Lytechinus pictus: one gene and its partner. Each later gene encodes a partner of the first gene's protein in a complex. Links are inferred from orthologs where the notes say so. Each region holds a gene or a part of one and is shown on either strand. Other genes may lie near its edges. The genes, in order: exosome complex component 10-like and exosome complex component RRP40-like.

The links.
Region 2: exosome complex component 10-like (region 1) and exosome complex component RRP40-like share a complex: the UniProt entries of both Drosophila melanogaster proteins name them as parts of the RNA exosome complex. The link is inferred for Lytechinus pictus from reciprocal best matches to the Drosophila melanogaster genes Rrp6 and Rrp40.

What each region holds. Positions count from the first base shown.
Region 1 is NC_087258.1:25,014,406-25,031,571, reverse strand, and holds the start of exosome complex component 10-like, read left to right. Parts: upstream 1-9,101; 5' UTR 9,102-9,314; coding exon of another isoform or gene 9,315-9,444; 5' UTR 9,445-9,917; coding exon 9,918-9,992; intron 9,993-15,315; coding exon 15,316-15,452; intron 15,453-15,745; coding exon 15,746-15,869; intron 15,870-17,166. Other genes in the region: sigma non-opioid intracellular receptor 1-like, read right to left, coding at 4,815-5,026, 5,906-5,998, 6,949-7,149, 9,315-9,444. UniProt on the Drosophila melanogaster protein: Catalytic component of the RNA exosome complex which has 3'->5' exoribonuclease activity and participates in a multitude of cellular RNA processing and degradation events.
Region 2 is NC_087255.1:34,040,337-34,057,681, reverse strand, and holds the start of exosome complex component RRP40-like, read left to right. Parts: upstream 1-9,017; 5' UTR 9,018-9,035; coding exon 9,036-9,239; intron 9,240-17,122; coding exon 17,123-17,272; intron 17,273-17,345. Other genes in the region: protein shortage in chiasmata 1 ortholog-like, read right to left, coding at 49-84. UniProt on the Drosophila melanogaster protein: Non-catalytic component of the RNA exosome complex which has 3'->5' exoribonuclease activity and participates in a multitude of cellular RNA processing and degradation events.

The DNA of each region.
Region 1 (17,166 bases):
AGTGATATATGATGGAAGAGGAAATAAGTATAGATAACATGGCATGAAAAAAAGAGGACGATCGTATGTATAAATAATAATAGTAAAGTAAAAAAAAAAAAAACATGACAAAGGTAAAAGAAACACAAGAAAAGAATACAAAAGGAAAAAAACATGGGCTGACCCTCTGCAGAAGAATCCAGTTAGACAAGATACAAGATAAATATATATTGATATAACATAACATTCTCCAGTCTTATATACAGTTTTTTAGGCTCCAAAATTAAAAATAACATAGTATATAAAAGCATATCTTAACCTAGAGCAACTCACAAATAACAATTAAGAAGATAACCTTTAAGTACACGCTGAAAAGTATAAATGCTTACCGATTTTTTTATATTTGAATTGAGAGAGTTCCAGAACCTGGGTCCTGTATTTACAACTGTCCTAAAAGCAGAACTTGTATGTAACTTGGGTAAGTGGAATGCAGAAGCATTTCGTGTATAATAGTTATGTATGTCACTATTTTTCATGAACATTGTGACCAGAGCTGGTGGCATGATGCCTGCATTGTATGCATACATTAGAGTACCAAGTTGAAAATCATAGATATCTTGTAATTTTAGAATTCTATGCTCATAAAAAAGTGGGGTAGTATGCGAGCGATAGTTAACATTACAAACAATTCTTAAAACTCTTTTCTGAATCAAGTACACCCTTTCTAGATTGGTTTTAAGAGAATTACCCCATGCAAGAACACCGTAATTGAGATACGGGAGAATTAGTGTTGAATACATCATACAAAGAATATCAGTAGAGAAAAAGGATTTTAATTTGTATATTACACCACTATTTTTTGATAATGTCTTACATAGATGATTTATATGGGTTTTCCAAATCAGTTTTTCATCTATATGCAACCCCAGAAATTTGGTCGTCTTTACTCTATCTATTAACACATCATTAAATATAACATCACCTGGAACTTATCTTTAATATCGTGTTGCTAAAGAGCATATAATTTGTTTTCTGCATATTTAGAGATAATTTATTTGCTTGAATCCACAAAGTGACTTTCCTCAGTTCACTATTAACTGTTTTTAAAAGGGTCTCAGGATTTCTGTGGGAATGATACAAACTTGAATCATCTGCAAATAAAATGAACGATAAAATATCAGAGGAATAGTGAAAATCATTAATATACACAATAAATAATAACGGACCAAGGAGGGATCCCTGGGGAACACCACAAGTGACATTCTGTAAACCTGACTCAGCATCCTTTATTGAGACAAATTGTTTCCTGTCAGCTAAGTAACTCTTGAACCAGTCCAATGCTGTACCCCTGATACCATAATGTGATAACTTGCCAGTCAAAATATCATGATCTACTGTGTCAAAAGCTTTCGAATAATCAAGAAATATACCAATTGTATGCATCTTTTTGTCTATGGATTGTGATACTTTATCAATAAAATGTAGCAAGGCATGGGTGGTGGTATGTTTCTCGCGAAAGCCAAACTGAAATTTAGAAAAAATATTACTCTTGTTGAAAAATTTCAAAGTTCTAACATAGATCACTTTCTCAAGAATCTTTGAGAATGCAGTCAATAGAGAAATAGGTCTGTAATTATTCAGACATTGAGGGTCTCCTTTCTTAAAAATGGGTACGACCTTCGCAATTTTCATGTCAGTAGGAACTTTCCCACATGACATTGATAGATTAAAGACATGAAGTAGGGGTTGAATAATTCCTAAGATAATTTCTTTAATTAAGTTGTTAGAAACCCCATCATAACCAGGACTTTTCCCGTTTTTAAGAGATTTCACAATGGTAAGCAGTTCTTCCCGAACTACTGGTAAGAAAAATAAACTTTTACTATTTTGCTCTTTCATAAAATCTCTGTAAGTCTGCTGAGAAAGTGGCACTGCCCGTGAAAGTTTTGGACCAATGCTGCAAAAGTAATTGTTAAAGTTGTCTGCTATAATATTCCTTTCTTCCACCACATGACCGTTAATTTCAATACTCTTTACATGAGATATCTTTTCCTTTGACTTGAATACTTTCTTAATCACTTTCCAAGTTCCCTTGATATCGTTTCTTGTTGCCTGAAATTGAGTGCGATAATATGATTTCTTTGCAATACGAAGGACTGAAGTAAGCGTATTTTTATAATTTACATAACGTTTACGTGAAGATTCGGTACCACGCACTTTATACGAATAATACAGCTTGTTTTTCTTGTTAATGGATCTCAACAAAGAAGCACTAACCCATGGCATAATAGGAACATTTTTACGATTTCTTCTACTTTGCTTTACAACTGGTACATTTTTATTATACAGAGACATGAATTTTTGTAAGAACCTTTTAAACGATATGTCCACATCATTTTCTTTAAGAACTTCACTCCAGTCCGTTTCTATCAAGGCTGCCCGCAGCTTTGCAATATTAGCGGAAGTGTTTTTCCGAATTGATTTGGATTCTTGTTTACAGACTTTACCCAAGCTATATTTGATTGGATTAAACTGTTTTAACATATTTTTCAAGTTTAACCACAGCAGGAATATATGATATCGTCGGCCTCATGCCAAAAAGGCCTGAACCCGATATGGCATTTTGCTTCCATAGCACAGATTGAAAGTGCTAATACATGTACCAATCTCATATAAATCATTCCCACTATACATTTTCTCAGTCTGGTACTGTAATATAATGTAACTAATGTAATAATGTAACTAAATTGCTAAATGATACATGTAGACAATAATTAGCAAGGACAAATGCATTGTGGGCTTACTTCTGGGATTCTTGGTTCAAGACACACTCGGAAATTTACCAAAGTCAGAGGTAATAAAAATATCCGACTTTTGAAAATGATGTGCTATACATAAGGATGTACATTCATAATATAAAGTGCGTATAAAAAAATGGTTACACTTAGAAAAAATCCTGTAAAATTATATATTTGTAATATCCTGAAGATTTTTCCACATTTTAACATTGGTACAGATCCATTAAAGCAAATGACGATATAACTGTCGAAAAATATTTCCACTTGAGTGAACACCACTTACTTTTGAAAAGTTAGTGAAAAATTATTTGCGCAGGACTTTGAAAAAGTTATGCATATAAAAGTAGACCTTAATCATGAACACGTGAAATTTAGCTAGTAAAATTTATTTGAAGATATCTTTTATCTTTTTTAACTTGTTTCCTTGCCCGAAACACTTCGAAGAGTGCATTGCGCCTCATCCCACTCCCCCACACACCGAGGCCATCATGACAATATTTGCTTTACACTGAGCTGTGATTTACATGACATGGCTTAGGCTTGATTTTCATTTTTTTAATCATTGCCAAGCTTGGGAAAAGTGTGGAGAAACAAGTATTAAATGAAAAAGGAAATGTAAACCCACTTTAAATGATAAAAACTTAGTGAAAAAATGCTGGAGATGTCTGATATAAACGTTTGTTCAGATTCAGCTATGTCCTCAGATCCAGCTGGCAAAAAAGAGGTAAAGGTTGTGCTTACTAAGTGTTGAAATTTCAATTAGGGTGGTAAAATTGTTACACTGTGCTTGAATGTATCCGTTTTATTTCAATTGACTAAAAGTGCAAGGGAAATGTATGAGAAATGTTTTGCAGGGTAAGTTTGATTTCGCCCTTTCCCCTTGACACAGCGTGAAAACCAGCATTTCTGAGCAAACAGATTTCTGCGAGCTTTACAAAAATGGACAGTGCTCACTCAAGTGTAACATTCTGTCAAAACTTTTACTTTCATTGGACAGATGAGACCCAAACCCAAGATTGTATGTGAAAAAATTACCCACATGTTGTATATTTTTTAATTCCCAGGGCTTTTTCAAAGTGTAAACTTTTTTTGATACGCACTGTATTATGATCGTTATATCACTCTTGCATATAAAAGTCAGAGGTAAAAATATCCAACATATTTTTCTAATTGATGTGCTACAAAGGAATGTATATTTATATACACGTAATATTATAATCATCATATCACCTTGGCATATCAATTCGAGGTAAAAATCCAAACATCCAACATTTTCTTTTCAATTGATGTGCTCTACCAAAGCATGCATATTCAAAATATAATTATATTCATTATACCACTCTTGTATGAAAGATACCAAATAAATTGGCCAGAGGTAACCGGTCAGAGGTAATACTTTGGAAGTGATGTGTTAGACAAAAGATTATATATTCAATATATTATGATCATTATGACACTCTTGCATATTAATAGTAAGTGTGATACTATCCAACATCAAAAAATGGAAGTGTGCTATACAAAACATTGTACATTCATCACGTTCATTTTTAATTATTATCATTATTGTTATCAGAACTCATTCAAACATTTCTAAAAATCTATTGAAGGGTAGCAATTTTGATTAGTAAGATGGTACCTTAGGCCTACCTATCAAATGCTAATAAAAAGAATCGATGCTGGTCCTATTTCAGATAGAGTTGCTTTAATCTCCATCAAACAAAAAAGGTCCTCACTTTCAAAAGGGGGGGGGGGGGAGCAAACTTGTGTTAGAACGGCCAATTTACATTACAGATTTTGATTATGCATCTCAAAAGGAGGGGGGGGGCACAGGCCAGATGTGCCCCCCTGGATCTGCCAATGGTTTGGCCAACCTTTATAGAGTATCAAACCTTATTTCATGTTTTAAATTAAAAACCTTTGAACTTATGAACCATCAGTATATCAATAGGAAAAACAAACTTAACCAAATTAACTGTCAATCTAACCACCCCCCTTCCCCATTCTGTTAACTAATCCACTAACAATCTTAAACCATCATCAAAGAACACATAGCAGTTCCTGGAACAGTGCCTCTGCGTAGATCCTGACGATTCGGTAGAGGGTGTAGAAGTCTTGGGTACTGAAGATTGTGTCGGAAATGGCAAACGGGAGGGTGGAGGGTATAAAACCACGCCCATATTCAACCATCCAGGTGCCCGCGGTCCACTGGACGGAAGTGGCCTCACCCCAAGCATGGAGTAGTGTGACTCCTATCGTCAACCGAAAATGAAAAAAAATAAATGAGAGTCGGTTTGTTGATCTCAGACAAATGAAAGGTCTGTACTTCTTCACAATATCTATGCATTAGCTCTCTATTGCAAGATGATAATGAATTGTTGGGATATTTTTGTTGAAAACACGTTCCAAGAAAAATACCCTTTTTAATCATTACTATAGTTGATTATACCCTACCCCTCTCTATTCAACGTAAATGAAATCATTGAAGCTGTGAGTACAGTGCCTCTCAGAAAAAGAAAAGAAAACAGGATTCACCATTATCTTCCCACCTTAGCTTTTTAATGATAAAATGATATTTCATTCCTAATTTGCAATTTTTCTTCTTTATTTGGATAGGGGCCTACCTCATAATGTCATGATATGAAAGATGGACAAGAAGAGTTTGATGATTTAATGTTAGGATTAAGTTGCACCTAAAATAGTCAAGATGTGTCAAGTAAACAACAAAAGGGTTTTAAGGAGGAATAGTCAATAGCATTTCTCACTGTCCTTTGTTATGCTTCTTTCACGAATTCGCTGCATCAGAGTGAAGACCGGTTTACAAATGAGTTTCCGCACAAATCGTTCTTACATGGCTCAATTTTTAGTGTTTATAATGTGGTATACCTTGCATATAGGATTCCCTAAATATTCATCTTGATTTCAAATTTGTAATCAAAACATATTGATAATTGTAATATCTTTGAAAACAAGTTCCTTTTTTTCCTGGGACACACAAATTTTCCTGAACCTTCAACCACTTTGGATAATCAACACTGTCCTGTGAGGATGTTAGAATGATGGAGGCAGTAAATGTACAAATTTAATAAGAAAAATTGAAATACTAAGATTCAAAGAATGATGGTTCTTACCCGGTCCATACTCTTCACTCTCGGTTGTTCCTTCTTTCCACTGCCGAAAATTCCCACTTATGATCGTGTCAGAAACATTTGCCCAATATCGACCTGTGAATAAACAATAAATAGAGTGATATAGAAATTAATACCTTTTCCTTTTCACCCTAAAATGAAAAAAAAATGCATTTGCAATACTCTTGGTTGCTTTGATCTCGCACAAGTTTACATGTACTCATGCTTTTATAGAACAAGTAAAATATTCTCCTCCCCCTGGCAACCAATTCTGCAAATTGTCTGTTTTTGGATCCCCTCAAAAAAAAAAAAAAAAAACCTATTATCCATAAAAAAAGCACAATATGTTACTCTGATAGGAAACAATTTTCATTTTACAGTTTTTTGGGCCAAATTGGGACGATTGCTGAATTTGAAGACTTTCTATTTTTAAGGACTACTTTTTTTTCCTTTTAGCTCAACTAGCACTTATGCCGTAAAAGTCTTTCTCATTGTTCTGCTGTACGTAGAATCTTGATCTTCTAAATATTCTTGAATAATATTTTCTTGCAAATATATTGGGGCAACTTAAGAAAAGATGGTATTACACCCCAAAGCATTTCAGTTTGCAAATTTTAGGGGTTACTTTGGCTGTCATGAAAAAAAATCACTTGTCTTCCTAATGTATTTCCAATGCTTCTCTTAATAATAATAATAGCTGGATTTGTCAAGCCCCGTTTGCCTTAGGATACAAGCGCTGCTATTATTATCACGGCTTTGGCTAAACTGCCCATATAGGCGGTCTAGCTGAGCATTTGAGGAATTTCTTCCTACCGGGTACCCATTCACCTCACCTGGGTTGAGTGCAGTACAATGTGGGTAAATTTCTTGCAGAAGGAAAACATGCCATGGCTGGGATCGTACAGTACCCACGTCCCTCAGTATGAAAGACGAGAGTCATAACCACTCGACCACGAGGCCCCGACCTTACTACATCAGCAAGCTACCCTACCCAAGTATCAAACAAGCCTAATGATCAGCTTAAACGACTATCTTCTATTCCTCACCAGAATGACCGCCAGTATCCACCGCAGTGCCAAAGAACAGAATATACTCGGTGAGCGAGGCATGCACGAGACACATGGCCCCCATCCAGCCACCGGCATTCATGAAGATCCATTCCTCCCTCTCTTTGGGTAGGATGTGACCAGGGTATCTCTCCCGAAGAACCTCACCCACCTTGTCAAAGGCATCTTGGTGTGGAAGTCCTGTCAGAAAGAAATACAATTGTTATGTACATTTTTGATGAGTTAGAGTGAAGCAATTCAAATCCCCTGGGATACCCCCCCCCCACGAGAAGATTCCGCAACAAATATATACCCTAGGGCTATTCCATAAAATGATCAACCGTTTTGTACGTCTGACCCCCATTTTTCTCAAGTCTTACTTCACGTCATAAAATGACCAAGCCATGGCCCTTTGAGAACATTAACCTACAGACTGTCAAAAGAACAAGAAATGAGAGACAGAAAACTTCATGAAGGTCCCACATATAGGGGGTCGGATGTACATATTTTACGGAATTGCCCCCTAGTAGAATGCCTCTGGCGGTCTCACCTGCATCACACGATTCAATATAGCAGCAGCGCTGACTTTGAAAACTACTATAAAATAATTATTCACAAAAAAAACACTCATATAATGATACAATACTACGTTCATTGATATTTGACCTTGATCATGTGACCTAAAACTTGTAAATGATATTGACCCCATATATACATTTTATACACTATATAGATCTATGAACTTTGAAAGTTATGACAGCAATCTAATAATTACCTCAAAAATGGCCAAAGTTCAATGGCCTTAAATGACCTTTTGACTTTTGTCATGTGACCTGAAACTCGCATGAGATGTTCAGTGATAGATGACTCTAATGTCCAATTAAGTTTTATGAACTAGACCAATATACTTACAGAGTTGTGATGGTAATTCAACAAATACCCCCAACATGGCCAAAGTTGAATGACCTTAAATGACCTTGGTCATGTGACCTGAAACTCAGACGGGATGTTCAGTGATACTTGATTACTCTTATGTCCAAGTTATGAACTAGACCAATAAACTTTGTTATGATGGTAATTCAACAAATACCCCCAATTTGGCCAAAGTTCATTTACCCTAAATGACCTTTGACCTTAATCATGTGACCCGAAACTTGCACAGGATGTTCAGTGCTAGTTGGTTACTATTATGTCCAAGTTTAATGAATCAGATCCATAAACTTTCAAATTTATGATGGTAATTCAACAGATACCCCCAATTTGGCCAAAGTTCATTGACCCTAAATGACCTTTGACCTTGGTCATGTGACGTGAAACTCAAGCAGGACGTTCAGTAATACTTGATTAACCTTATGTCTAAGTTTCATGAACTAGGTCCATATATGTTCTAAGTTATGACATAATTTCAAAAACTTAACCTTATATAATTAGGTTAAGATTTTGATGTTGATTCCCCCAACATGGTCCAAGTTCATTGACCCTAAATTACCTTTGTCATGTGACCTGAAATTCAGGCAGGATGTTCAGTAATACTTGATTACCCTTATCCTTATGTCCAAGTTTCATGAGCTACATGTAGGTCCATATACTTTTTAAGTTAATAATGACATTTCAAAAACTTAACCTGGGTTAACATTTCAATGTTGACGACGTGACATGAAAAGCGGCGCCTCGTAGTCTCGCTCTGCTATGCAGGCGAGACAAAAAATGTTTTGAAAATAAAAAGATAGAAATTTCCCCCAATTTTGGAAACACCTATCCCCATGCAATAGACTATATATGCAAATTTAGTCTTCCCACAAAAGGGTTGCATGACTTGTCGAGTATTAGGCGCTCGAGGCTCTTGACTGTCTTGATCCGCAATTTACGAAATTCAGAGTTTCGTTCATGTACCAGGGGCCGCGGAACCGGGGGGGCTTCAGCCCCCCCACTTTTTTCCAAAAGTCAAAACCGTGTACAAAAACGTAAAAATGACCATAGGATTGTGATTTTTTGCATGGTCAGCCCCCCCACTTTGAAAACCGTTCCGCGGCCCCTGTGTACTTCGAGTACATGTATACGTCTACTGAATATAATTCCAGTCTTTCCATCATGACATAGACTAGTCTATGATGACAGTCACTAGTCAGGAGTAAATTAGTAGTAGTACAAATATTCAGTTCAAGAGCACAGACATTGTACACCCCCCCCCCAGCGCCTCCCGAGGCCCAGAGCTGGACTGCTGGAAATAAGTGGAATCATTTTGCCTTTTTAAGGCTTTAAATATTTTTCAGTTTGCTTTTGTTTTGGCTTTAATTAAAGTTTTGTTTTGGTTTTGTCTTGCCCATTTCATGCATTTGGGAGTAGAATTGCTGATTAGTTCTTACCAACAAATTTCTCTGCTATTCTTGCAATTGTCTGATCATCAGTTAGATACGATTTTGTCTTCAACCAGAGATGGGTTTCATTGATCAAGGCACCAAATAAAACCAGAATTGATATCTTTGACAATGACATTTTGCCTGTTCTGACTTCAACTTCCAACCAACTACTCGGTACTCCCAATTATAGTACACGTACATGCATGAAATCACGTGACAGTGTACTGGTATCAGGTGACCTAGTAAAGTAGTAAGCATTTAGGATGGAGATTTTTCTCCAAAATACCGATTACTCATTGCTATATTTGGAGAAAATACAGCTCACGAACTTTTTAAAGCTATAGATCTAGATGAATTGTTTACTGCCAAAAAAAAGAAAGAAGAATTTAATCGACGACTTTGACTTTAAGTTTATGTACAGTACCGTACATACAGTACAGAGAACTAGAGACGTCAGAGAAAGCTCCAACGATGCTCCCACGTGGTGTTTTGAAGATGGCGTCAGTCAAGCTGAGACTGATTGAGATGAGATCGAGACGAGTTTGAGCCACGATTTCCCAATCAAACTAACAAGAGATTTAACATTCGAAAGTTTTCAACCGTTTAAAAATGACTGAAAAGGCTGGAGACGAAATGATGGTCACGGATGTGCCAGGATTCACCAGTGTGAACGATTTTGCTCAGGTTTGTTGACACACTAATTCAGCGTGGAGCTGGGATGAGATTAACCCAGAGAGCTCCCGCCCGCGCAGCGGGCGCCCGCTGCGCGGGCGGGAGCTCTCTGGGTTAGGATGAGATGAAGCCTCGCACTCGCAGCGTTGCGGCTGGATGATGCTGCTGTGGCCGCTAGCGCTGCGCTGTACTGTAGCCGTCGCCGCCGGCTAGCGCGCTGGCCTGCCAGGCACCTGACAATGACATGCCGCACTGCCCGCGTCTAGAGTTTCTGTTTGTACTTTGAAAGCTAAAAAGTATGGCAAGTTCGTCTGCGCAGTCCTCCTTGTCTTCGCACACACGTATCTAGGGACAGTGATTTTCCGTTTAAAAAAATTGCCTTTTCCGTTTCAGAAAATCGTAAATTCCGTTTCACTTTCAGCATGTCAGAAAGCGGAAATTCCGTTTCCCCATAGACTTTGTGTACACGGAAAATTGGCTATTCCGTTTACCATTCAGGAGCAATATATCACTCGCGCTGGTCAAAATTTGTATCTGCCACTGTATGTACCAACAACGCAGTAGAATCCGCTCTAACCATGCTAACACTACAGTTAATCGGATCTAGTATGGGGTACACAAAATATTTTGACAAACATATTTGACATAAATACATCCTTACCTTTCAGTTTCACATTATTAGCATTATTTGTTAAATTAAATTTTATAGATAATTTTGGGGGGTTTTGGACATCGTTTCGACCAGTCAACGACTTTAGCCTATCCGCCATTTTGGATTTTAAGACCGGAATATTGTACTGTTACATCTTCAAACGTAGAGGGCAGCAACACATGACCGTGTTGTTTGCATGTGAATGTTTTCGATACGGCCGACCCCGCCGCCGGCCAAGACCCGGGAGAGGCCCGGGGGTTCGATCGAGAGTGATGGAGTCGAGAGCAGTCACGATGTGTGGATTGTCATACTTTGTAGTGAAGTGAGATCGTGTTTTGTGAGGTTTTGTAGCCATTTAATATTCGTATTTTGTTGAGATTTTGGGGTAATTACTGTTGCTATTCTGTGTATTCTGAGGAAAAATATGTTTTCCGTGATTTTCCGTTTGAAATGCCACTTTCCGTTTCAAAAGGCAATATCCGTGAATTCCGTCCGTTTTCCGCGATCGCGGAAAATCACTGTCCCTACGTATCTGCGCGATTCTACATGTAGTACGCGATGACCACAGACTTTACACAGTATTTGGAAAGATATTCATTAAAAAATTCGACTCAAAATTACGAAAAAATAATGAATTTTGGGCATTTCATGTGATGGCCTCAAAAAGCAGCCTTTTTCATCAAAATCCCCAAATTGCGTGCAAAGTGAATGGGTGCGTAGACATGGGGTACCAATTTTTTGTTCAATCTGAAAATGACTGCCTAATGTTTTTTCCAAGAAGATCATGTATTTCTGTCTAATTTTTATGAGATATTTGGTTTACTTATATTAATAGGGATGCCACCCCAAAAATTGAAATTTGAAGTGTTGTAATTCTAGTTTTAAATAGTTTAACTGGAATAAGCTCTGAAACACGAGTAAAATGACACCAAGATCATCAAAATTGGACGAGGGCCGGGGGGTTGCCGAGATATGGCCAATTCAAATTTTGAAAAAAGGCATATTTTCTGCCAAAAAGTGGCCAAAATGGCAAAAATGTGTTTTTTTTTTTTTAAAGCTACCTCTTTTAAAACTTGATGAAGTATAGCTAGGACCTAGGTTGCTTTTCCTTGGGGCACCTAACATGTTAACAACCAACAAGTACCTGAAAAATTGGGTCCGAACTACTTTTCGTTTTCATATTAACGGAGTTCAAAATATGTTGAAAACACAAATTTTCACCTTTGGACCCAGAGGAAATTGGCAAAAAATGACTAATAGTAATCAAGTATCACTGAACATCCTGTGCAAGTTTCAGGTCACATGATTAAGGTAAAAGGTAATTTAGGGTCAATGATCTTTGGCCAAATTGGGGTATTTGTTGAATTACCATCATAACTTTGAAAGTATATTGGTCTAGTTCATAAAACTTGGACATAAGAGTAATCAAGTATCACTGAACATCCTGTGTGCATTTCAGGTCACATGACCAAGGTCAAAGGTGAATGAACTTTGGCCATAATGGGGGTATGATCTGTTGAATTACCATCATAACTTTGAAAGTTTATGGATCTGACTCATGAAACTTGGACATAAGAGTAATCAAGTATCACTGAACATCCTGTGCGAGTTTTAGGTCACATGTTCAAGGTCAAAGGTCATGTAAGGTCAATGAACTTTGGCCATGTTGGGGGTATTTGTTGAATTACCATCATACCTCTGTAAGTGTATTGGTCTAGTTCATAAAACGTGGACATAAGAGTAACCAAGTATCACTGAACATCTTGTGCGAGTTACAGTAGTTTTCAAAGTCAGCACTTCTGCTATATTGAATAGCGTGATGCAGGTGAGACGGCCAGAGGCATTCCACTTGTCTCCAATAGCAGAGTGATCAAGTTATCAGATCATCATGAAAATGGCTGGGTATGAAGTGTGAGAAATCAGGATTGTGCAATCACAAGTGAAATTGACGAAAGTTCCATCAGACATTCAGAAATCTTAGTACTAATCAACCTATCAATGATAGACATTGTTCTGGTCGTCCATACTCCAATTGCCTGCCCTGGGGATTTTTTCGTTGTCAAGGACATGAACTTGGAATGTTCCACTTTGACATGGGGTTTTTGAAAATGAAATTGGGCAATATAATCACATCGCTAATAGAGTTTCAAAATACCCCTTCACATCCCAATCGCCCCGGCTTACGATCAAATTCCTCGGTCCTGAAATCTTGATCAATGGGAATCAGCTGATCTTACATATGAATGGGTTGATTATGCTAGGATTTCATCGAGGTCGTAGTTGAAATATGTGTCAGCAATGGGTATGAAAATACAAGAACTTGAAAGAGTTTTTCTTCAGGTTAATGTATCATTGTTTTTTTTGTTATATGTGTACTTTTTTTGCATTGTTTGAATAACTTTCATCATTCCTGCCAAGAATTTGTAAGGATAACCGTCAGCAGCGCGCACTGGCAGGAATTTCTCGGCGCGCGAGTGGCATCCCTAATAATAGCATAAGGAAAATTATCAACTGAAAGAATTTGTGAACTAAAAAGAAATTCATGTTAAATCTTAACTCAAATCGTTAGGTGCGCAGACTTGGGGACCACCATCATAATGTGAAATGCTCTAATTATGAGGATATTGTAAATATAGATTCTAAATGTCAATTATTATTCCATTGGGCATTATAATTTACCTTTCCGTCGTCGGCTCTCCTCTCGAGCTCAGCCGGAGTGGAGGCTCCTAGACTAGAGAGTAAAAATCATTTACTAACGTATGCTTTAATCTCCACCGAAAAAAGTTGCCACCGTGTTTACGTCGCCATCTTGATTTCATTGTCTTTCGCTTGGCAACAGCACGCAAATCGCGCGATTTGTGTGCATTCGCATGTCGCCAAGCAAAAGACAATGAAATCAAGATGGTGATGTAAACACGGTGGCAAGTTTTCCCCGTCTTTTCATAACATTTTTCCCCTTTTTTAAAGATGAATTCTTGTTTAAAAATGAAATCGATAGGGTAGAAATGTCGGAAATGAAGTTATATCCCATTTACATGATTTAGAGCTAGATCTTTTAGGAGGAAAGTAGAAATCTCGGGGGCGAAAGTTTCAGGTTTTTTGGCGGTACATGGAGATGAATGGGAAGGAATTCCTGGCTCCGTGGAGAGTAAGCATACGTTAGTAAATGATTTTTACTCTCTAGGAGCCACTTGGCTACTCGAGCTCGAGTCGCACCAGATAATGAGATGTCATGATTTGAAATTGAAAATAGAAATTATGTTATTGATGTTTTTTAGACAAGAGTATGAGCCGAGGAGGAGGATGAATGATGAAGGTGACAATATATCTGATTGGCCTGTGATAAATTATGAATATGATGAATTGAACCCGAAGTGCACTGAAAGGACAGTCAGGAGTCTTTTATTTTGTTCTGAACGTTTTGGGCAGGACTCACTGACTCGGCATGCTCAGGAAGAGGAATGAATCAATTTAAAAATGCATGTTGGTTGGTTGGTAATAAATTATGTTGAGGAAAATCACGATGGTGATGATGGTGATTGATCATGAGCATGATGGTGATGATGAGAATGATCATGGTGATGATGTCTTTTGATGATGAGAATGATGATATCGATGAGAATGTTGGTCTTGATTGATGATGAAGATGCTGTCTGATGGTGTGGAACTGTGAATGGACTGGTGGTGATGGTGGATTGTGGAGGTGAAGGTGATTGCAAGGATGAGGATGGATAATAAAAGAAAAGGTGATGATTTCTAAAGTCGTGTCTAGGGCATATCTACACAATTCTTGCAGATTTCTTTTCACCAAATATCCTCTGCTGCCATTAAACCGGCTAGACCAAGTGGATGGAGATCTATTGAAGTTTTTTGTTTTTTATTGTAAAAATTCGCTAATGTCTGGTCATTTTAATGGAATACATGTTATTGTTATCAATTTACAAAGACTACAAGTCTACATGTAAATTTTTTTTTTTAATATTACCATCAAGAGCACTAGAGCTTTATCATCGAATTAGTGCAAATCTCAAGTGCAGGACTGCAGCATAGAGCTTTGATCTGTGCCTTGGACCATGCACTTGTCCACGAGCAGTAGACGGCAGAATAAAGTGTTCTATTTTTACCTCTGCTTTATAGAAATTTCATACTATCGCATCATTTTGTATATATTTTTGTAGCCAAGGTAGGATTCTAGCCAATTCGAGGATTGGTTGGTAAATTTACTTTGGCTGATTTTTTAATTTCTTTATAAATTGATCAACTTGTAGATATGAAGGTAAATGTAGAGTCCTTGAAAAAGCCAAAGAGATCCTAACCAATGAGAACCATGCCCTTCAGGAATATTATAATTTGATGAGGTCAGGCAAACATCTGAGATCCCTTCCAGGCAGAACCTCACGCTTTGTAAATTATTTTTTTCCAGTTTCAATCCGTGAATTTAATAGCCATACTTGAAATTATGTTACCCCCCCACTTCCTGCCTTTATCTTATTTTCTCTTATCTTTGCTTGTTGATTTGTGTAATGTTTACTATATGTATCGGTGTAATCTTTTGTGTGTATTATGTGTTATTCTAATTATTTTGTGTGAACAAATTGAATTTCCATTTGTACTCGATTGCAATTGGACAATAAAAAGATCTGAATCTGAATTATGCTGCTTCTCTATTTGGTCAATTCACAGAAAGCCCTTGGCAAGCTGAAGGTAGCCACCAGAACCGCAAATGAACTACCCTCTGCCGGTGATGACTACGACTTCTACTCCAGTTACGAAGGATTCAGGCAGTTCTGCAATTCGCAGGGAGACAAACTCCTGGAAAGGTTAGTCTGAAATGCGAGTGTTGCTTCGCAAGTTGCAACCCAATATGTAGGTTGGAAAATGATGACTGAAATGAATGATTATTAATGTTATTGTATATTTTGTATCAGGCATAAAAATTGTTTTTTTTTATTTTATTTTCAGGTGCTACTTTTCACAACTTAACACTGCCTAAATCTGCAACATTGGATAAGCTTTAAAATTTCTCTTATGAGCATTTTAGGGGCTAAATCACCCCAGACCCCTGTGGACCCCTGTGTATTTTTTTTCTCCCTGTTTTGTATTTTATTTTTAGTATCCAGAGGCTAGCAGGACAGCAAGGAGCCGGTGGAAGTCAAGTTGGTCTCAGCAGAATCCTCGAGCTTGAGGATCGAGTAGACTCTCTCATCGAGACCAATGATACACTTCTTGAAAGTGCGGTAAGACGATTAGTAAACGTAATAATTTTTTACCGTTCATCTGTTATGTGAAGGCATAATAAATCAACACTTTTTGGAATGCCCCTCCTACCAGAGCTGTGCACTTTTAAAGATCAGGGGGGTGTTTCACAAAGATTTAATTATGACTTATTATTATTATGATATTATTCTTCTTGAAGATCTTGTCAATGTTTTCAACTAAGGCAATATGTCATGAACTATTATCACAGTACCTCAAATATTGTTTGAATTTGTAACGGAATTAAGAGATAATTGGTTAGTTTACATTGCACGTTTCCATGCTGTCATCTCAAATAATGTGTTGTGCTGATGCTATTAATGACGATGCAGATAGTAAACCTCCCTTTACTGTCCCCCTCTTGTGTCACGTCTATCCCATCATGCAATGTGCACAATCAAGGGTCAGTCCCAATTACTAAATTTATCATCTTATTTTAGTAGTAATACCTCAGTCATATTTACTCTACGGCGGCCATACCGCGAGTCGAAAACAGCCGTTTTAACTTTTTTTTTACCAGCGATACATAGGTGGTTTTAATAAAAATGAATAAAACGGCTGTTTTCGACTCGCCGTAGAGCAAATGTGACCAAGGTATTAAGGGTCTTGTCCTTCATACATAGTCTTTAATTTTGCATACTCAATATCTGAAAATTGTATGCAACCAGCAGATTTGGAACCCTTCATCTTCTACTTAATTGCAGTTGCTGCCTTGCAAGTAATAGATGGTGACCCCAAGTTCCAAATCCTGGTTGTTCGAATTATTATAACAGTATTTAAGTAGTGGTAGTACAACAGCAAACTTATCAGGGGGCTGTTTCATAAAGCCATTCGTTAAGTTAAGAGAGAATGACTGGTGAACGTTTCTTAAGTGCTAAACCATCGCCAGTGAACATTTTGGTGTGTACCATACACAAGAAAGGATCACCAGTCGCCCTGAAAGTCACTGTTAACTTACGAACAGCTTTATGAAACACCCACTTGGTTTTGTTCCAATTGATTAGGGGGGCAGCAATCACCCTTAGCCCTCCCTCCACTTTGCATTTTTCAGTACATCCTCAATCCAACCTTCCTCCTCTCTTCCATTTCCTTACCATTTGTGGCCTTCCCCTTCCTCGAAACATCCATCTCAAACACAAGAGCCCTGCTTAAAATGTGCCCATCATCCCTCCTCGGTACATACCCATAACCCTTCCTGATTTTATCTGAATTTCTCTCATCTTTGCTTGTTGATTTGCATAATGTTTACTATATGTGTCGTGTAATCTTTTGTGTGTA
Region 2 (17,345 bases), on another chromosome or scaffold:
CAAACAGTAGTGAATAGCCAGGCTAGGCCTAACGCTATATCTACTTACCTCGAAAGCGTAGTCAAGTGCTAAATACCGTGGCATGCTTAAACTATGGTTCTTCCAAAAATGAGAGTAAAATAGATCTCTTGTATCTTGCTCATAATTAATCAGGCATCGTCAGACATCACCATCGATAGGGCGTTTGTTTATGGGCCGGCCTAGCTTATATAGCCTGGGCGCGGCGGTGCCGGCTATCGATATCCGATAAGACCGATATCGATATCGCGCTGAATTCATTTTTTACACCCCCGCCCCCTTCTCGTTATTATCATTTTTCGGCTTGTGATTAAATATATACATGTATTACAACTGAAAGACGGCTGTACCTCTCTTTTTATCACCCTTCCTACTTTTATTTTTCTTCTTTCGTTCCAAGTAATTTTTTTCTCCTCATCATGTATTTTTCCCACCTGCCTGCCGCTCCTAGTAGGGGCAGAAACAAGTCACTAAAAACAAATTAAGAGACTTCAGCGCTAAAAAGAGTTGATTATAGGCCCTATTCTTAGATTCGACTACAATAGACTACCATAAATGGACCATTCATAAATTAAATCGAAGAATTAATATAAGACCAAAACTTGAGGGCCTATATGCAAAACATGTCTTACATTATAAAATTGTATGCCTATCGAATTTGATTTCACCAAGCATGCGAGTACTAGTATCCAGGATTTTTCAACCCGGGGGCGCGACCTAATTTTGGCTCCCCTGTGAACCGCTGGTCTCGGGATGGGGGGGGGGGGCACCAGCAATTTTTTTAGCCATCCTTGGTCGCGTAAATTGCACTCGATCACCAAGTATACCTAGAGACATTTAAAGGACTGTGACATGAAAAGGATATGTATCTCACTGATCAAATAACGCAGAAAATTTGTGATACTCAGACATTATAAGCAAATTGTTGTAATAATCATACGTATCTGTCTCACTAAACGTAATTGTAAACATAAATATGACACGTATCTCACTAATCAAATATTGCGAGCGCGAAGCGCGAGCTGAAAATTTTTGAAATTCAGACCTGAAGAGGGGCATTCTATGGCTTGTTCTTGGGAATTTACAAGGCCATACGTAATTCACTAACCAAATGATGCGGATGCGAAGTGCGAGCTAAACATTTTTGATATTTTGACTCGGATAATCAAACCAAAAGGGGACATTTTAAGGACTGTTTATAAGACTTCATGAAGAGCAGACATATATCACTATTCCACTAATTCGAACGTAAATACGGACTGGAAATGATTTAAATTCAGACCTTAAATAGGGAAATCAATTTAAGTACTCATGAAAAAGAAGCATAATGTCACTCCATAAAGCAATAATAACTCGAAGTGCGAGGAAATATATTTGGTGTATATGGACTTTAAAACGGGATGTTTTAGTCAAACAGGATCATATATCTCATTAAACAGACAGTGCGAGCACCAGGAATGATAAACACATAGGCCCTAAGAAAATAATTTTTCATAAATTTATGAAAAAATATTTCTTATGTAACACTATAATATATATTTTTGTTATATATATTAATATGATATACAATAATTTCTTCTCCCAACAACTACGCGTGACCAAGAAATTTCCAAACATCCCCCCCCCCCTAAAAGCATAAAACTTTAAGCACTTTGGTGTGGATCTAGCTTTCACTAAGGGGGGGTGAAACATATTTTCATCAATAATTTTATGTTTCCCGATCGGATATTCTAAGCAGTTTTTTGTAACAGTGAACATAATGGGTATACGTTGATGCGAGTGCGAAAATTTTTGATATTCTGACCTCAAATTTGAAAGTCTCAATGCAATTTTGGTAATTCGGAAAGGGATATGGGTATCTATCTCAGCATTTTATGCGACCGCAAAGCGCGAGCTGAAATTTTTTGATATTCTGACCTAAAATTTGGACTTTCTAGGCACTTTTGGTGATCACAAACAGATTGGGCATCTAATTGCATTTGATACGAGCGCGAGCGCCAAAATCATGTGAAACATGATTTTGGCGCCCCCGGTCAAACATAAAGTTGGCGCCATAATGGTCGAATATGAATTTGGCGCCCCCTCCCGAGGTTGAACATGAATTTGGCGCCCTTAAGTAAAACATCGATTCGGCGGACCCCAAGGTCGGACATCATTGCGGCGTCCCAAAGTAAAACATAAATTCGTCGCCCCTAGGTCGGACATCAATTCGGCGCCCCCTCCTATGTCAAACATAGATTCGGCGCCCTTCTATGTCGAACATAAATTGGGCGCCCCTATAGGTAGAACAAATCTGATCCAAGCTCTGGACAAAGTTTATACTTGACTATACTTTATTAATGATTGTATATACCAAAACTAAAGTTATGCTCATTGGATCTAGACATAGTATAAGCAGTAGTATGGATGCTGTTGATTTGTCAATGTGATTGATATTGTTGATTTGCTCTTGCATGGATGACCCCATCAGAACAGGTATTTCAACAAGTTAACTGGCCATCTCTTCAAGAAGTGCAAACTAAATCACTACTGTGCATGGTTTATAAATATATCAACAAACTAGTCCCCTCAATTCTTGCCAATTGATTTACTCTTTATGATGACGCGCAATCTGAATCAATTGAAATTAGATGTAGAACAGAATATTACAAACGGCCATTTGTTAACAAGGGCATAGTCCAGAGGAATAACCTCCCCTATGTCGAACATCAATTCGGCGCCCTTAGGTCAAACATCAATTTTCTCTTCCATGTGTGCGATATGTTGGGCAGAGTCTGGTCCGAGTTATGGATTCTTGGTTGCTTGCGAAAGGTGGAGGTAGCTGATCGCCTTCCCGTAATATAGTTACTTAAATGGTTTGAACTGAATTTCACTTATGTTAGTGTCTTAACGTCACTTTTACAGTTATTCATTATCATATTTTCAGCAAAAATAATTGATATATACCTGCAAACCTTGTGTATAGTTATTTAGTGTCATACACTCTTAAGGATGGGGTGCTGGTTTTGCGCCTTTGTGTGCTTGTGGAGTGGCTGTCCTTTTGGAGAGCTGTTTTTTTTCTAAATGAAATTTTAACTTGAATCAAGGTGCCGTCGCTGTTTAGGTTCCTAGAGTGTTGAATTGTCACTTTGTCATCAGAGTGTGGATACTGCTGTTTTTAATATTTATGTATGTTGCATCATACTATTGTGACTAAATATGTTTTTAATCTTGTTAAAATCAGGACATTGAAGTAAAACGGCGATTCAGCTAATCGTTTTATCCTGTATAAATATTTTCTAATAAATAAATAAATTCGGCGCCTCCCTAGGTTAAAGGTCGATTCAGCGCCCTATTAAGTCGACATTCAATCAAACATCATTTCGGCGCCCCTAAGTGAAACATCAATCGGTGCCCCCTATGTCAAACATCAATTCGGCGCCTCTAGGTAGAACATCAATTCGCCGAGGCCCTATGTCGAACTTCAATTCGGCGCCCCGAGGTCGAACATCAATTCGCCCTCCCCCTATAGGTCAAACATAAATTCAGCGCCCCCTACATCAAACTCCAATTCGGCGCCCCTATACGTAGAACATCATTTTGGCGCCCCCCTAGGTTGAAGATCAATTCGGCGCCCTTATGCCGAACTTCAATTCGTCGCCCCCTATGTAAACATTAATTCGGAGCCCCTTGGTAAAACATCAATTCGGTGCCCCTTATGTCGAACATCGATTCGGTGCCCCTAAGTCTAACATCAATTTGCCCCCCCCCCCCCCCCCCAGTTCAAACATAAATTCGGCGCCCCCTTCCCCCCGTTCTGTTTTTTCCCCTTTCTCTTTCTCTTCTTCTTTTCCTCCCCAGTTCTCCCCTATTCTTTTCTTTTTTTCTTTCTTTTCCTCTCTTCTCTTCTTTTTGGCGCCCCCCCCCCTTTCGCCTACCCAGGGGCCCGAGCCCCGAAAGCATCCCCCAGAATACACGCATGCCAAGGTCAATACGACTTCCAATTAGATTTTACTATGTTGATTGTATTGCAGTCATATCCTCTATATCGTCTTTTTTTTTTACATCTGACGAAGAGTGTGACTTTACCTTTCATTTTTGAGAGCTATGCTCCTTTTAAAATATATTATTTTATTTCTACGGCATTTTCTAAACCATTTGTGATTATGATTATATATACAATGTATGTATATATATATATATATATATATATATAGCAAAATACAAGGTGAATAAAACAACCGTAGAGAGAAAAGTTAGATCAAATTTTCGCCCATAGGGCTTCATTAGGAAATGATTAATTTATTAGTCAACAGCACCAAGAAACGCAGTGCGCAAAACGCAAAGCGTTAATAACAACGCGCTAAAAGGTAAAACGCGAAGCGCAACAGTACAAAAGAAAAGAGAGAGAGAAAGAAAGATTGGGGGAGGGGGAGAGAAAATAAGAAAAAAAGAAAAAAAGGGGAAGGAGAAGAAAAAGAAGAAGAAAAAGAAAAAAAGAAGAAGAAGAAAAAGCCGGGGAGACAAAAGGAAGAGAGAAAAAGGAAAACGACTTGAAGAAAAGAGAGCTGAGAGAGAGAAGGGGGCAGAAATAGAGGACAGCTGGGGAGAAAGAAGTAAAAGAAAAAAAGAAGAAAAGGAAAAAGAATAGAAAAAAAGAAGAAAAAGAAAGAAAAAGAAGAAAAAGAAAGGGATGTTTTATATACATATATATATAGAACATCATTTTCCTTTTAAAGTCTACTATTTTATTTCTACGGCATTTTCTAAACCATTTGTGATTATGATTATATATATAGTCTTAACCACTAGACCACGACGCCCCTGTATATAGGCCTATAACTATTTCAAGTCTAAGCAGGGTGGCACTACAGATGTTCCCCTAAATCATTTAGGGGAAGTGTAAAAACATATAAAACTAATGAACCCTTTTTGGATTTATATATATCCTCTCTGTACGATATGTGTGCGCGTGTCATGAATTTTGAACCTGCCAACTTTAGGGAGCGTTTCATCATCATTTTCGTCCGACAAGATGTCAAATCCGATAACTTTACTTGATTTTGATTGGCTGAGAAGCACTGAGCTGTTAGTCGGATAAAACCATAGATATGTATACTAATTAGTTATTAGTATACATCTCTATGGATAAAACGGAGACCTGGGGCAGGCGCGTAGCCAGGGGGGCGGTGGGGGCGGAAAAAAGAGAGGAGAAAAGGAAAAGGGAAGGGAAGAAAGGTAGCTTTGTCGGGTTATTTTTCTTTTTATTTATTTTTTTTTTCTCAAAAGAGAAACTCCTACACTCTTGCTCTAAATTTATATATGAATTTTGCTTCCGCGCTGCGCGCGGTTAAATGACAATATTGAAGTTCTCCATTGTTTCCCCCACCCTTTCTCTAACCCTGTTTTTCCACCTCAGCTATATGTGTTTCTTGCCAGTTAAAGTTCAAATGTATACATTAGGGCATGGAATTAGAGTAAGGTTAGGCCGAAGTATATGAAGTTATCTTTTTTTTATTGATCGCGCAACTTCTGGTCGGGTCGGCTCCGGGCGGGTAAAATCTTAATATATCTTTCTGCCGTCAGCCCGTCACCCCCATAAAGTCAACTTCTCCCGCTTTTCAGCTCATTACTAAACAACCATAATTTTGGGGCAAACAGGTTCCTAATTTAAAAAGAGGAATGTATAAAATTTGTGTCGTATTAACTAAAAAAGTACAATATTTTGTATCAAATTCTATTAATCTTCATGTCATTACCTTGCACATTCATCTCCTGTCCTGTTTTGCGCCCTAAGTTTGAAATTTTGAAAGACACTTAGGTTTCTTTATAATTCAAAATGAAGCGCTTCAGGATAAGTCAAAGAAATTAGGCATCCTTTTTTATATAATTTCAATAAATCACAGAAGTTTCAACTTTTTGCGCACTATTTTCCTTGTAATGAGTTCAATAATCTTAGGAAATCAATTGAATTAGAGCCGATGGGGTATTAGAGATATCTGCATTTGATGAAACGTCCGCCCGTTGAAATTTCAGAGTTTTATTGCTCTGCGCGGGGAGGAATATCTGGGACCGAATATCTTCCTCCCGGAAAGAATTCAAAATACTGCAGCTAGATTGGTAACCCTCACTAAGAAATTTGAACATATCACCTCTATTCTCTACTCCCTCCATTGGCTTCAGGTTCATAATAATATAATTATTTTCAAGCTCCTTCTCCTTGTCTATAAAATCATCCATGGTCTCGCCCCATCCTACCTTCAAAATCTTATCTCTCTCTATCACTCATCCTCTGCAACTCAACGTCTCCGATCTTCTTCTACTGCTCACCTTCGACTATCTCTAGGACCCCGCACTTTTACCCGTTATGGCGATCGTGCTTTTTCTGCTCTTGCCCCTAAACTCTGGAACAATCTCCCAATCTCCATCCGTAATGCATCCACTGTCGAATCTTTCAAAACACTCCTCAAATCTTACCTCGTTAAGCAGTCCTCTTAATTCCATATCCTGTTCTCTTTCACTGTATTTTGCTACTTCTTTTTTTCTCTTTCCAATGCGCTTAGAAACTGTTGTATTAAGCGCTATATAAATGTTAATTATTATTATTATTATTGTTATATACACTTCTCCTCTGTTTTGCGAGTTAAAGATATGCACTGTCGCTAAATTGTTTGTAATCAAATCTGATCTTTCCAAGGGAAGTATTCACTATATCTATGAGAATACCCTTTTCTCGGGACTCTTTTCATGGCAAAAATATTGATAAAACGCTTTAGCATCCGCGCTTCGCGCGGGGTTATTTCAGTGCTTTTAATTTCCTCCATTGTATTCCTTTTTGTGCGTTCACAATCACTTTTGAAAACAAGGTTCAAAATCACAATATAGTCAACTGAATTGGAGCTGATATAGGTACTAGAGACAAGAGAGACGACTCCTTTTCATTTTAATTTATGAAACACCAAAAGCTTCGCGCTTCGCGTGGGAGGATAAAACAGTACTTGTCGGATAAAACGTCCAACAAGTCCTTTCATGAAACGCTCCCCAGGTGCCATGAGCCTAATTACATCAGGAGGGCTAAAGATATTCGTTCGACCCAACCCATTCGAAATTTTTCAATTTGATATTGCTGATTGACAAAAATGTATATGAATATGATTCAAAATCTAACACTGATTCTAGAAATGGTAACTACTGAACTTCCTTTGCCCAAAGTGGGAAGATATATCAATGATTTGGCACTATTTTTTGACTGGCGGAAGAATTGGGGCTATTTTACCGTTTCAGTTGATCAATTTGATCCCATCATAGTTATCTTCATAAATGGCGATTTATTTTTAAAATGAGCTGGCTACGATACCCTTCTCTGGTCAGATATGGAATGTCAGATATATATCCTATCCAAAGGTAGTAAACATTCGACCCTCTAATTTCACATTTATTTTTTATGAATTTTTGTTAAGTGCCATTTTAACACACAAGTCTATGGGGAATGTTTTACGCGCGTGAGACCTATAAGTAATACAGGCGAATTCCCTATAGTGGATGGAATACCTGCCAAAACTCCTCTGAAGCAAACAATTTCTAAGTGATATCAATATGTTTAGTCATCAAGTGGTGCAAAAAATTGATTTAATGGCTTAGCAAGGCTATATCAGGTAAAGTTAGTAGGTATGTGTATGTAAGCCTAGGAATGCATATAGACTGGTCAATGAGAGTCTAGGCCTCTTTATGTTCTGATTCATCATTGGTTTGTGCTAGTGTATGATCACCTACTTAATGTTAGAAAGACCTTTACAAATTGCTCATGTTAAAATTGTTCTTTGGAATGGGGTAGAGAGCTAGAGATAGAACTTTCTGAACTTTACTGAAGAGAACTAGAGTGGTACCTTCAAGAAGGTATTTAGAAAAAGGCACAGAGTATTAAGGTAAGGTATCTAATAGTGCTCAACTAAGGAGGGAGGGGGGGTGGCTGTGTGATCCAATCTTATTCTAGCCCCCCCCCTCTTTATAAGCCATGACATCTATAAAATCATCTTTCTTTCTCTCTCCTCTTTCTATCTATTTATGTATCTCTTTCTTCTTACATCTGATAGGCAATAGCCCTAGGAAGATTTTGATATAATAGTTCAAATGCAAATGTACTAAAGTAATATTATATGTTCTCATTCTTTTATTGTTTCCTCATTCAATCTCATGTATATCTGGTAATTATGTTTGGGGCAGTTCTGGTATCCTGATATCTACACCAAATTTACATACACCTTTATATTACAAGGAGAACAGGGGCCTATATTGTCATTGCATTCACTGTTGGGCTATATGCAGGAAGGATATGTATACATCCATATAGTGAATATAACATGTATGAGTAGCACATTAAAATGGGTCATTGCATAGAAAATACGCATTTTCAATGTATTTCTTTGTGCTAGTGTAAGTTTACAGATATAAAAGAATAGCAAAGTAGCTATTTAAAAAAATAAAATTCATAGGTCATATAATATAGGTGCCATGAGCCTAATTACATCAGGAGGGCTAAAGATATTCGTTCGACCCAACCCATTCGAAATTTTTCAATTTGATATTGCTGATTGACAAAAATGTATGAATATGATTCAAAATCTAACACTGATTCTAGAAATGGTAACTACTGAACTTCCTTTGCCCAAATTGGGAAGATATATCAATGATTTGGCACTATTTTTTGACTGGCGGAAGAATTGGGGCTATTTTACCGTTTCAGTTGATGAATTTGATCCCATCATAGTTATCTTCATAAATGGCGATTTATTTTTAAAATGAGCTGGCTACGATACCCTTCTCTGGTCAGATATGGAATGTCAGATATATATCCTATCCAAAGGTAGTAAACATTCGACCCTCTAATTTCACATTTATTTTTTATGAATTTTTGTAAAGTGCCATTTTAACACACAAGTCTATGGGGAATGTTTTACGCGCGTGAGACCCCCAGACAAATCCTGTCGTGAAAAACTTTCCCTGTCGTAGATGGCAGTGTGCACATTTTGATAATAAAGATGGCAGCCCCCATAGATGACTTTGAACCGCGTGTTGTTCTGCCAGGTGATTTGTTGACAGGATATATTTCTGGAGAGCTTCATAATCAAATTATTCTTGGACCAGGGCTAAGGCAAGATGAAGCCAACATATTCTCAACAAAAGCAGGGATTCTAAGACGAAAGAAACCACATACTTTCTGGATAGATTGCCACCAAAAGAGGGTAGGTAACGCAAAAATCAATAGGCGGGACTGACAGCTCAGTGACACTGACAGTGTCAGTAGAGTAAAAATTAGACAGCTGGCAGCTGTCTGTTTCGAGGAGTTTTTTAACATTTTTATTATTTTTTTATGAGTGGGGCCAACGCAGTTCAGTGGAACAACCAATATAACAACGACAGAAGCTAAGTTGTAAGTATTGGTCTACAGGTCTAGAAAAGACTAGATCTAGGCCTAACTCAAAAATCTGCTGAGTCAGACCACTCCTAGTCCTAGTACCAATGAGGTCCAAACATTAGCATGTATGGACCTCATAGGCGACAATGCATTAAAAACAGGTTAGAACTTCTAACCGTACTGTTTCCTGCACCCAAGTATTAGTATATATGATATTACTCCCAAAATATGAGTTTTGTCCTCGTTTGTTTATCATTTATTAAAAGATTGCCCATTAAATATATTCCTATTCCTAATTTGAATTTAATAAAATAAAGGTAGGCACTTCAGTCGGGCGGGCGATAGCGCGGACATAGCGCTAGACGTAGATTTTTGCATTGCAGTGAATGGCGAGCGCCTATCTAACACACACAGTTCGCTCCGCTCGGCACTTTGGCCGAGCGCTGGAGTTGCATTCGGCATTGCTCGAAAAGACAGAGTCAGTTTCTTCCTTTATTCCGCTGATTTTGATTGGTCAAAAATTCCCGCGGTTGCTTCGTACATCTTCGGTAAACATCGGAAATATACAAGACGGAGTTTAACTTACCTTCATGCGAGGGAAGGACCTAATATTCAGGTATTTATTTTTCTTTGCTTGAAATCACCTTCTTGTAATCATCGGATCCCTTGTAAACTCAGTCAGTAATACAATTGTATATTTGAGAACATTTTGTGAAATTCTAATCAAATTTGGTCCGTAGAGAGTTTGCGAATATGAGCTTCAGTTTTGAGTGTCATGAGGTGTTTGTGAATCTGACTCGGCCGATCGAGCAGGGTTGTTTTGAGCGTATACGAACAGCTGTGAGTGACGTCATCCCCACTGCGTTGGGCCTGAGATTAGTCTTGGTGTTCAGACACAGTATGTTTCAGCCGTTGTATATTTTTTTAAATTACGATTTGAGCTCTGTTAATTATGAAAATCAAATTGTTATTTTGAAAATAATTTTGTAGAATTTGTGTGAAATAAGTATTAAGAGCAAAACTGCAAGTAAACTTCAAGAATTTTGTTTCATATGTGATTTTTTGTTGGAATGCGTCTGAATGTCTAGAATATGGTATTGTTAATGAAAGTCGTATTTTTGAATGGCACAGAAAGCTCCTTGCATGAATTTAATTTAGAAATAGGTTTACATACATGAGATGTGTTTCATAAATTTGATATCTGATTTATGGACCTTTGTTATGGTGTTAATTATTAATTTGAAAATATTATGAAAAAGTAAGAGAAGACAATAATGAGGCAATTAACAGTGATGATGAGACATTAATAATATGAGACAATAAACATTGAGACAATTATAATAATTATGATTATAATGATAACAATTATAATTATAATGATAATAATTATAATTGTAATAATTATTGAGACATCAATTCTAGTATTTATTGACAATAATAATTATTACAGTAATCATTATTATAATAAAATAATTGTAATAATAACAATTATAATGATGTACTTTGAATTGTAATAATTACTGAGACAATAATATTAATGAGATATCAATAATAATCATTATAATAATAATACTTATAATTAAAATAAATATAATTGTAGAAACAATTATAATTATAGTAATTATAATTATAGGCCTTATAATTAATGAGACAATAATAACTATTATTACAATAATACTAATTATTATAAAATAATTATAATGATAACAATTATTCAATTCAATTCAATTTATTCAAATTCCATTCAATAAAAATACAAGATACAATATCAGAGAAATACATAGTAACAAAACAATTAAACATACATAAATATAAAATGAAATTTGGGAGACTGCAAAAGACCGAAAGGTCTTGACGAGGCAGACCCCGAGTGCCATCATGGCAATACATGTATATTGGCATAGGTTAAAAATAATGACATGAACAGGATGAAAAAAATATAAATACAAATGTCCTAACCCCCCCTCCCCCATCGGGAACTGGAAGCCAGTGTAACAATATATAAATTATCAAAATACACTTTAAGAAGATTTATGAGTCATATGATGATATAATGTGTTTTTTTAGCTTACGTTTAAAAGAATAAAGCGAAGAACATTTTTTGATTTCACAAGGCAGCGAGTGCCAAACATCAGGTCCTCTATGTCTAATGGATTTATAAGCAAGTACTGTTTTGGGATTACTAAGATGAAAATTGTTAGAACCTCTGGTATTGTGTTCATGAACCTGGGTATTGCGTATAAACATTGAATTAAAATTGCTTGGAACCAAGTGATTAGTATAATTGAACATAAAATTTGCAGTTTGTAAGATATTGATATCAGATATTTTTAATATGTTCAGTTTTTTGAAAATTGGATCAGTATGGGCTAAGTAAGGAGAACCTGTGCAAATTCTTATGGCTCTTTTCTGCAGTAGCAATAAGGAATTAACATTTCTTTTGGTTCCACAACCCCACGCAATATTAGCATAAGATAAATAAGATAATATGAAAGAATTGTACAATAGTATAATAGACTTTGGCATTAACGTATCTTTAAGTTTAAACATTATACCAATAATTCTAGAAATATGAGTTCTTAAATGCTGAAAATGCAAATTCCAGTTTAAATGTTGATCGAGAACAACGCCAAGAAATTTAACATTAGTTTTCCTTTCAATTAGGGTATTGTCTATTAAGATTTGGCACTGGTCTTCCATAATCTTTTTGATTGGGTTGTGAAATATAATATAATTGGTTTTACTGAGGTTTAGAGATAACTTATTACATTGTAGCCAGTTGGTTAGTTTACGTAATTCTACATTGATAGTGACGATCATTTTATTAAAATCATGATGAGAATATAACAGTGTCGTATCATCTGCAAATAACACATAGCTAAGCATTTCGGAAGAATTTACAATGTCGTTCATATATATTATAAAAAGAAGCGGCCCAAGAATGGATCCTTGTGGGACGCCACACTGGAGTTCTAAAATTTGTGATTTATTTAAGTCGACCTCAGTGTATTGAATTCTGTTCTTTAAATAATCTTTGAACCATGCAAGAGGCGTACCCCTTATACCATAACGTTCAAGTTTATGTATTAATATTGAATGATCAAGCGTGTCGAACGCTTTTGAAAGGTCCAAAAATAATCCAGTTATATATTGTTTTTTTGCAAGGGATTTGGTTATTCTATCATATAAGTCCAAAACTGCTAATTCAGTTGAATGTTGTCTCCTAAAACCATATTGGGCGGTGCAAAGTAATTTGTTTTTGTCTAAAAAATTATATACCTGGATATGGATTATTCTTTCTAAGATTTTAGATAAAGAGGGTAAGATAGATATAGGTCGGTAATTTTCACATTGGATACGATTTCCCTTTTTGAATATTGGTACGACCCGTGCTAATTTGAAAGAATTCGGATAGCATCCAAGAGACAATGATAAGTTGAAAATATGACATATAATGAAAGTAATTATAATTGTAATAATTACTGAGACGGTAATATTGAAAGGTCATCAATAATTATTATTATAAAAATTATTATGATTATAAAAATAATCATAATTATAATTAAAGGCCTTATAATTATTGAGACAAATAACTATTATTACAATAATAATAATTATAAAATAATTATAATGATAACAATTATAATGAAAGTAATTGTACTTGTAATAAATACTGAGACAGTAATATTGATAAGTCATCAATAATTATTATTATTATAAAAATTATTATAATTATAATTATAATCATAAAAATAATCATAATTATAATTATAGGCCTTATAATTATTGAGACAATAATAATTATTATTTCAATAATAATTATTATTATGAAATAATTATAACAATAATTACTAAGATAGTAATTATAATTGTAATAATTATTTAGAAAATAATATTAATGAAACAAAAATAATTATCATAATAATATTTATTATAAGTATAATACTAATTGGGACAATAATGAAATGATGATGAGACAATAATAATATCAACAATTTTATTCAGACCATAATAACAAGACAATATTGAGATAATAGACAATTGAAATCAATCTGTTTTTATTTTTTTCTAGAAATCCTAAGATTATTATTTTATTTCTCTTTCTTTGATTACAAATTATATTCATTGAAAACTTAATTTATAATGTTCAAGCAAAGAAAATCAATATCAAGTCATGTTTACCCTGTGCACAAACCTACCACAGGGCAATTACCCCCGAAATAGGGTTAGGTTAGGTGTAGATTTTTGGATAGGGGTACAGTGTAGTTGTCCGGGGGGGGGGGGTAATTGTCCAGGGTGGGTGGGGGTGGGGGGAGGGGAATTGTCCGAGGGTGGGGGGTGGGGGGTTATCGTCCAGGGGTAGTTGCCCTTGAACCAAAGAAATCATATGCCAATATGTCAAATCAATCTGAGTACTTTAAGATTTAAATAAAAAGCTTGTACAATTCCCCATAAGCTATGTATTATAAATGTGCCATGCCCAAAACAAAGAGAATAATAAGATTTCGCAATCTTCTTTTGTCCACAAAAAGGCCTGTTTTTTCATCACAAAGTTGACAATAACTCGAGATATCGGAATTTGAAAATTCAAACAGTTTTGTGAATCGTAGATATTGAGCCTCATTGTGAGCCCATCAAATATGCTGGAACAGCCTTTCCTAATTTTCACCTGAAGTGCCTAATAAAGGGAAACTTACATTTGAGTCATTTTTCGATCTTTTTTTGGCAGTCAGTCCGGTCACCGTCGAGTGCGATCAAAGCGGTATGAAGCTGATTTTCAGATCACGTGATACGTGTGGTCATCACCTGATCAATCGACTATCCTTTTTTAAAGACCGCAACAATTATACATTTTATTATAAAATATATATAGAATAAATTATTGCATAATATTATGTATATTTCTACAATTAAAAAATATTTTTTGATATAAATTTAATATTTGACGTAAAAATCGCTATTGAACAAAATATTTATTAAAAATAAAAAATCAAACAAAATAAAAAAGCCTTGGACACAGTGCAAAAAACCTAACGATTTGGCCGCGTTGTTAACAACTATCGTAAGGGGCGCTTTATTTATAAATAAAAAAGAATATGCAGCTGTCTATGGCGACGTGGTTTGTCGCGAGATTTGAGACAAATCTGTGGGAATTCTTGAGAAAATACATCAAAAGAACCGGTGAGTACCGATTAAACATTATTAAAGTAGTAAATAGATTATACATACTTTGTAGATTTAGTTTTTAAGGTGATATTAGTGCTTTGTTCTAAGCTAGGGAGGCCCAAACGCGCGTGAGCGGAGTCCCACTTTATTAACACGGGTAAGTATTGCGGTGTCGCCTAGAGTGAGTCAGACTGAGTGCTGTTTTTCGGCAATCAAGGGTTCATTACATGCCGCCACGCACAGAAAAATCAAGCAATAGAACTTAGAAGTTGTGTGTTGTGGACACCAGAAGTGGGATCGCAGCACGCGTGACCCACTAGTTAGAAATCCATTGCCAAACGTGGTCAATCAATGGTGCGAGTTTTTACTTATACTAACCTCGCGCTCGCAATAGTGTGAGTGTTATACATACTAACCTCGCAATAGTGTGAGTGGTTTTTCGGAGGAGTTTGTAGACATTTTCGGCATTATTTTTTTATTGTGAAATTGCAAATGCAATTGGGAACCAGTTCCTAATTTCCACTAGACACTTTTTTTCACGACAAGACATGACCAACCTACAGTAGAGGCGCACGGCCAATATGGGAGACTCTCTCCAATAGGGGAGACAATCTCCCACATTGGAGACTTGCTTTGCAAAAGGACAAAAGAAACAACACCAAAAAAAGCATGATTTTTTCCACCCAAAATTTTGTCTCACTGAGGTCAGAAGCCCATTTGTTTTGTGTGTGATTGACAAAAATCCTTATCAAATATCAAAACAAAAGTAGACGGTGAATTTTTAAAATAGACGGTGAAAAGGGGCAATTTTTCATGAGGAATCTGCTTATCACATTTTTATTTGCCGCCAAGGTAATCCTTTTGCAGCAAATGTAAACAAAGGAAATTGGTCTCCAAAACTGGAGACTGTCTCTGAAATTGGATACCCAAATTCTTTACAAAAGTCTCTGATATTGGAGATAATCTCCCACATTGGAGACAGTCTCCAATATTGGCCGTGCGCCTCTAGTGACCTAGAATATTTTGAGCTTGCTCACTCAGTCACTGCTTCACCGCATGCCGTAGTCGTAGACCAAAAAAGCTTCGGTCTCTGTTTTTGGTTGTTCCGCTGAACTCCGGTGGCTCCACTCACCAATTGTATGAGTCGAGGAGAAATTAAAAAAATAAAAAATATGTTAAAAAACTCCTTGAAACAGACGGCTGCCAGCTGTCTACGCACGCCGCAGCTGGTTCGCTGATTCTAAATCCTCTAAAGAGCATAGATCAGAAAGATTGATTTCGTCGCTGTCTATTCTCTACTCGTTGAAAATAACCAGCGTGGAAAACTCCCCATGGAGTTGTACACGCTGGTTCCCATTTCAGCGAGTAGAGTAAACTAGTTTAATCTACTCGCTTAAATTTTTTTAAATGGGAACCAGCGTGGAAAACTCCTTGTACATGCTGGTTCCCATTTCAGCGAGTATAGTAAATTAGTTTAATCTAGATCTACTCGCTAAAATGGGAACCAGTGTGGAAAACTCCTGCATAGAGTTGTACACACTGGTTCCCATTTCAGCGAGTATAGTAAACTAGTTTAATCTAGATCTACTTGCTAAAATGAGAACCAGCGTGGAAAACTCCCCATAGAGTTGTACAAGCTGGTTCCCATTTCAGCGAGTAGAGTAAACTAGTTTAATCTAGTCGCTGAAATGGGAACCAGCATGGAAATCCATATAGTTGTACATGCTGGTTGTCATTTTGAAGAGTAGATAAAGACAGATTGATAATGAGATTTATTTCGTCAGTGATGGTTCTGACGAAATAAATTACTCAAGTACACTGTCTTTATCTACTCTTGAAAATGGGAACCAGTACAATTCAGGAGAATTTTCCATAGCTGGTTCCCATTTTGAAGAGTAGATAAAGGCAGATTACTAATGAGATTTATTTCGTCAGTGCTGATTCTGATGAAATAAATTTTTCTATAGCTATGAACTTCAGAATTTCATAGCTGGTTCCCATTTTGAAGAGTAGATATAAAGACCGATTGCTTATGAGATTTATTTCGTCAGTGATGATTATCTGACAAAATAAATCTCACTAATAAACTGTCTTTATCTACTCGTGAAAATGGGAACCAGCATGTATAATTCAGGAGAATTTTTTTTAGGTGGTTCCCATTTTGAAGAGTAGATGTAAAGAGAGATTGCCAATGGCGCATCTGTACCAGACGTGCATACCTTTTTCTTCCCCGTTATCAATTCAATTCCAAAACATTGCAATGACAAATATGTGTGGGCGGCAGCCATGGTCATTTTGTGAATGCGATGTTTTAGAATTGGCATAGAATTTAGTCACCTCAATGATCAACCCTTTGATCACAATCAATGGAAAGACAAGATAAAGTCCAGATAGATGACCGCAATCTTCTATTTTAATTTTTTGTTTGAAAGATTAGGTTTTTTTTTTTAATTCAAAAGTGACAAATCAGAAGGATTTGGCATTCATGCATATGGCTGTTGGCGATATATTTCAGAATCTATTTTCAATCTCAATCTCTTCCAGTATGTACCAGCTAAAGGAGACAAGGTTCTAGGAGTAGTGACCCAGAGGGCAGGTGATATCTTCAGAGTGGACATCGGGGGCCAATCCAATGCTACTCTATCATATCTCGCATTTGAAGGAGCAACAAAGAGAAATAGACCAAATGTTCAGGCAAGTATGATTTGCCATCATGTTGTTGCCTTGCTGGGCAGCAGAAGGGTGTTAGGATCTACGTACAGTACAT